Yarrowia lipolytica: one gene and its partner. The protein of the gene in region 1 interacts with the protein of each later gene in a pairwise test. Links are inferred from orthologs where the notes say so. Each region holds a gene or a part of one and is shown in the gene's direction. Other genes may lie near its edges.

Region 1 (3,227 bases):
CTCAAATCGAAACAAACGAATCGCAAGCGATTTTTTCCATCAATTCCACTCCAGCGGCCACAAATGTCGTAATTGGCCGTCTCCGCAGGTATCGTTTCGACCGTAAGTACACCCATTGTACTACTCACGTTAACTCGTTATGGGGTAAGTTGTGGAGAGCGTCAAATATTTATATAAACCGGAAGAACCGGCCCCAGTTTTACAGTTTCTTGTGAAACTCTATTTTTCCAGCGGCCAGCACCCGGGATAACTCTGCAGAATTTTCCGGACCAGACCCGTTGAGCGCTGTGAGGGCATAGCTGTCTAACTGACCCCTCTAGCCTTCTCCCGAGCCCCACTTGGCGATATTCCGACGGTTTCCGCCGACTTTGCTTCACTCCCTGTTATGCAATGGCAGTGTGTCTCCTTCAAACATGGTAACAAGGTTGCGCCCATAACTATACTATAGAGCAAGTTGCGGAGATAGCCATTGGCCAGCTTTGTGTATTTCAGGTGGTTTAGGAAGAGTACCAACGCGTGTGCGATGGGAAAGATAACGCCCACGGTGTGGATTGTGTTACCAGGTGCTACCCCACAGTTGTGCAATGCAATTGTGCGGCGAAGGATTATCTTGTACAAGTGTATTGCAGCACGGCTTTGTATCATGGGATGTAACGGCACGCAGCATGGAAGCGCAGCGGTGTTCTCTTTGGCCCGACCAGTAAGGACAATGTAAGATATGTAAGTTGAGATGTGGGAGTTTCTGGTCACGTGATGCGGAGAAGTTCGGAACTATGCAGTCTATGCCCCAACCAGAGGCTTGGCTACAGCTAAAAGGGAATATTAAAACTCGTCCAGGCTGTAAGGGGGGGCGGTTAGGTGGAGTATCGTCGGGTTTTTGGGACTCTTCTACGGTGAAATCTGTATCCCATCCTGTAGTTGCTATTCCGAGGTTTGCTATAGTGCGAAGAGAGTAATACGTGATTTTGAGACAGACTCGTTAGAAGAGAACTATGATCACCCGTGGACAGATGACACGTACATGCAAGATAGCTTTGAGGATAGAATTTCGGAAAGATGCGGGGGGACCAGTTGACGACAAACTACACCCAACGATCTTTTAGCCACAAGTAGACGGTGGCATTAGCTACATATTCTACGGGGGGGGAGCAATTGACCTGTCCCCCTGCTATTTTCACACTACAGTACGTTGCTATAAGTTTTTTATAGCGTTACTACGAGTACATACTGCAGCGGAGATAACGGCAGTAATTTTGTTCGTATTTTAAATGAGCACTGCACAACTGGACCAAGTACTTGTAGGAGATCCGAAAATATCCCTCAAACGGACGTTATCCCCTCGGAAACAATTTCTCCAAAAAACTTACCGTCATTAGTCAACAGTATTTCCGGTTGTTATTATTGTTATTTACCCCAGATGTCAGAAATTCAACATTTCAAACACACTATTTTCGACTCCTTATTACCCGATTTCAGTTAACAGCTGTCTGTGCTTCGATAGAAACTCTCTTCGGCTCTGAGGCTCTGAATAGCACACTTCCATCATGTACGATCACATTCGAAACTCGTGTCTGAAAGCATATTACCCTAACCCTTGACATACAGCGAGCCTGTCTGTCTGGGACGTGATAGTTTTAGATCTTGTTGCCCCCCAACTACTTGTACTTCAACAACCCCTAGTCCAAGTATCTAAAAAAACACACAATGGACGAAGACTCCCCCGCCCCCTCTCTCCAGAACATCATTGACCAGGACTCTCTCCGATGGATCTTTGTCGGTGGTAAGGGAGGTGTTGGTAAGACCACCACCTCCTGTTCCCTTGCCATCCAGCTGGCCAAGAACCGAGAGTCCGTTCTGCTCATCTCCACTGATCCCGCACACAACCTTTCTGACGCCTTTGGCCAGAAGTTCGGCAAGGACGCCCGACCTGTGAATGGTATCGACAACCTGCACTGCATGGAGATTGACCCCAGTGGGTCCATTCAGGAGATGATCGAGCAGGCCCAGAGCGCAGGAGGCGCTGGAGCCGGCATGACTAACATGATGCAGGACATTGCCTTCTCTATCCCCGGTGTTGACGAGGCCATGTCCTTTGCCGAGGTCCTCAAGCAGGTCAAGAGCACATCCTACTCCGTCATCATCTTCGATACTGCTCCCACCGGCCACACTCTGCGATTCCTGACCTTCCCCACCGTTCTGGAGAAGGCTCTGGGCAAGATCTCCGAGCTTTCCGGCCGATTTGGCCCCATGCTTGGCTCTCTGATGGGAGGCCAGGGGGGTCCCTCTGCTGACGACATGTTCGCAAAGCTCAACGAGACCCGAGCCACCATCTCTGAGGTCAACACCCAGTTCAAGAACCCCGACCTCACCACCTTTGTGTGTGTTTGCATTCCCGAGTTCCTGTCTCTGTACGAGACAGAGCGAATGGTCCAGGACCTGACCTCTTTTGACATTGACACCCACAACATTGTCGTCAACCAGCTGCTGTACCCCAAGAAGGGAGACGACTGCGAGCTCTGCTCCTCTCGATACAAGATGCAGCAGAAGTACCTGGAGCAGATTCTCGATCTGTACGAGGACTTCCACATTGTGCGACTTCCTCAGCAGACCCAGGAGGTTCGAGGAGTCCAGGCCCTTGAGAAGTTCAGCAACCTGCTTGTTCACCCTTACCAGCATATCGAGAACTAGAGCGTGAGGAATTGAGGGAATGTCATAGTTCCACTGGTGGTGTAATTACTGTAAGTAGTGGTAGATTAATAAAGATTTACAGATTGGGCTTGCATTGTAACCTCTGAGGTGTGTCACGTGGATTAAGAGTACAAGTACGCGTATGTACTGTTACAAGGGGGGTGGTGGAGGTGGAGGCGTGTGTATACGGAGGATGGTCACGTGACTGTCGTCGATCGGGTTTTTGTGGCGTTGCACATAAAAGAACCTCATGTTATTTCCGGCGTGAATTTAACGAGTATTCAATGCCCATGTCGTTTAACGTGCAGAATAGAATTTTGGTGGGGTTGGTGGGATATCTTGAACACAACATATCACTGTCTGAAATCGGATGAAAACGAGCCAGAGAAGCCGGAGACATACCCGAACCACTCACGAAGCGTTCAGATTCGTATACTACTTGTCAAATCCCCAAATATCACATTTACTAATCCCCTACTTGTACACACACCCCTTTGCTCCATTAATAGACACTTCAGAGTTCAGATTCATGCAGGGTG
Region 2 (2,937 bases), about 730 kb from region 1:
GATGGCATACACTGAGTGGTAGTCTTTAGAAGAAGACTCTTCATCCTTACCATCAGCACTAAGATGCAGGCCCTTAGCCCACGAGTGACCAGACCACCAGTAGAAAGATCGATGAATAGGAAAGCTCTTACCCTGAGGACTGGGGTTAGCGTAGTCTATCACCAGATTATCGACCCACTGTCTCTCTGAGTGAGCCATTTCCCGTCTCCCAGCTCTCTATCAACTTTGGCGATATAGCAGCGGCATGAACAAAATAACCATAGTGGATATGAAGGTCATTGTAGTAAGTTACCGAAATCAGCGGGGGAGTCCGTACCAAGGCCCGCAGTAGAGACAATGCCCTTCCAGAGGGTGTTGTAAGCAAGTGGATTCTGCTGTCTGTGATTGACGAACACAGTAAATGCGTTCTTCAATCGACCAAGAAGGTCGCGAGCACATGCCTTATCACCAACGACATCGTTCAGAACCACCAGAATCTGAGTAAATCTGTCTAGACCCTTTCTGGAGAAGTACATGGAATCAAGATTGGTCCGAGTGCGGCTTCTCTTGGTTGGCAACATCGGCGATAATCTGCGAACGCGAACATTGGCATCATCGAGGGAGACTTGTAGTTGGGTAGAACTGCCTTTGGGAGATAGCCCACATCTTGAGGCAACGACGGCTCGACCATTGTGAATTTGTCGGTGATGAACCCACGCATCTGGCCCTTGGCAGAAGAATCATGGGTCGCCATGGTCCAAGTAGAGTAGACAGCAGGCAGTCTGTCATGCTCTGGATCTGATGTTCGAGTACAAACATCGATGGTTTGTCCCTTTCGCTAGAGCCGGCATGTTTGAAGTTAATGCTTTAAGATCCACGAAGGCCATCCTGAACAATGTCATCAGTGGCAGAAGTTCCCACAGCATAACTTCCAGCCCAATGCATACGGGAGCTGTAACAAATGACGGCAGCTTGACGAGGTGTGCTCATCGGGGAAACATGCCCAAGGGGTCTGCAGTCGAGATGGATGCGAACAGGTTTCCGTTCACCCATGGCGCGTGGCGTTTTTCCAACTCGTTTGTATCCTGCCCATGCGCTAGTGCACTAACCAACCCAAGAAAGGCCCTGAGAGAATCTCATCTGACTAGCAGAAAGATTTGTTAGTGAGTGTTTCCTTGGAGATCTGTTTTGGCACGTGGACAAACATATGAATGAGGCTCTTGATGGGTTTACACATGGCTTGCTATCAGTAGTATCCAATCAGGGATCTCTTTACTGTAGTGTATCTCCATTGCTCATAATAGGCAACATAAAAAGCTGTCTACAGTATGAGCGCAAACCGTATACGAGAGTGCATCGCTTAAGTTCAACGAGCCATGTCAGACCCAACACATCCAATCCTGGTCATTGGAGTACATCAGTGCTGGGTGGTTGTTAACAGGAAGAGTACTGTACATACATGTAACTGTGCCTTGTGCTGGAGATGTCCCGAACTCTAACGGTGCTAACCATAGAGCAAACGAGGTGATGTTGATATTCAGATACAGTACGAGTACACAGTTCGGTTGTATATCAAAATGGCACATAATTTTTCCTTCCATTATACAATGCAAGTAAGTTGTCATCGTTGAACTTGTTTATCGCAGCTACAAGTACAAGTAGTGTACCGACGCTTGTATCGGTACAGAGTGCAGTGCGTGCACTCATCTTCCGTCACTTTATGTCATGCATGACCCAAATCAAACTTCGTTGCATCGAAATTTCAATCAACTTCAACACACCATTACAATGTTGACTCTTCCCGCGACCCTGTCTACACAAACAATCAACTACCTCGTGGCATCCGGTCTGGTCGGCGCAGGTGTCATTCTTGGACGATACGTCATTCCTCGAGCCACCACTCCTGCTCCCCGAAAGCTAGCTGCACGAAGACTATCTTCATCTTCGATATCCTCTTCCGAGGCCGACTCGTCCGAGGATGAGTTCACAGAGGAAGACATCAAGCAGCTGCAGGCTCACGAGGACAAAGCCCGTGGAGAATTGAAAATGGTGCTGGTGGTGAGAACTGATCTCAAGATGACTAAGGGCAAGATCGCAGCCCAGTGTGCACATGCAGCTCTGGCATGCTACAGACAGTCCTCCGATCTCAAGCCTAAAACCACCCGATCATGGGTCCGATGGGGCCAGGCCAAGGTGGCCCTCCAGGTCAAGTCTGAGGCCGAGCTGTTCGAGCTCAAGCGACAAGCTCTCGAGCGAGGTATCATCGCCTGTGTGATCCGAGACGCTGGCCGAACCCAGATTGCTGCAGGAAGTGCCACTGTTCTAGGTGTCGGCCCTGCTCCCAAGTCTGAGATTGACCGAGTCACTGGTCATCTAAAGTTGCTGTAAGCGACTGAAGTGCTGGGCATATAGACAGCAACTGAACAACGAAACTCATAGATTAATGCATGATTTACTATATACAAATGCTCCCTTATCATCCTTTACCAAACTCCTCTACACCTAAACACACAGGACCAGCTCTCCAGTGTATTTATTAGCGCGCACAACTCCCATGCTGACAAGCCGATCTCCTCGCTCAAGCTGAAGATCTCCAACCTCAACCTCAACCTCCATGTCCAAATCAATGCAATAAGCCCGCGCTCGTGTAGACAGCTTGGTGATAGGATCTCGCTTATAGGTAAGAGCAGGTCGAGTCACAACACACTTGTATGCAAAGTTATTCTGCGTTTCGATCCACAGAATCTTCCAGTATCGTTCAACCAGTTGAGCTGCCCGGTCAGTCAACCGTTGTCGAGGTCGCAGGTACTGTAAGTAGACACTTCGAAGCTGTCCAGCAGAGAGAGGTTGAGGCAGCTCCAGAATCATTCGAGGGGTCTCCTCCTCCAGAACGTCACACACATCGTCCTGGATATCATGCCATCTGTCTGAAAGAGGTGTGTATTCCTCCTTTCCAGC

The links. The genes of interacting proteins can lie anywhere in the genome.
Region 2: the proteins of YALI1_E39676g (region 1) and YALI1_E32396g interact in a two-hybrid assay, tested with the Schizosaccharomyces pombe proteins (2 studies listed by BioGRID). The link is inferred for Yarrowia lipolytica from reciprocal best matches to the Schizosaccharomyces pombe genes get3 and pth2.

The regions. Positions count from the first base shown.
Region 1 is NC_090774.1:3,966,086-3,969,312, reverse strand, and holds YALI1_E39676g (uncharacterized protein), read left to right. Parts: upstream 1-1,704; coding exon 1,705-2,688; downstream 2,689-3,227. UniProt on the Schizosaccharomyces pombe protein: ATPase required for the post-translational delivery of tail-anchored (TA) proteins to the endoplasmic reticulum. Recognizes and selectively binds the transmembrane domain of TA proteins in the cytosol.
Region 2 is NC_090774.1:3,238,361-3,241,297, reverse strand, and holds YALI1_E32396g (uncharacterized protein), read left to right. Parts: upstream 1-1,704; coding exon 1,705-2,367; downstream 2,368-2,937. Other genes in the region: YALI1_E32411g (uncharacterized protein), read right to left, coding at 1-198; YALI1_E32361g (uncharacterized protein), read right to left, coding at 2,482-2,937.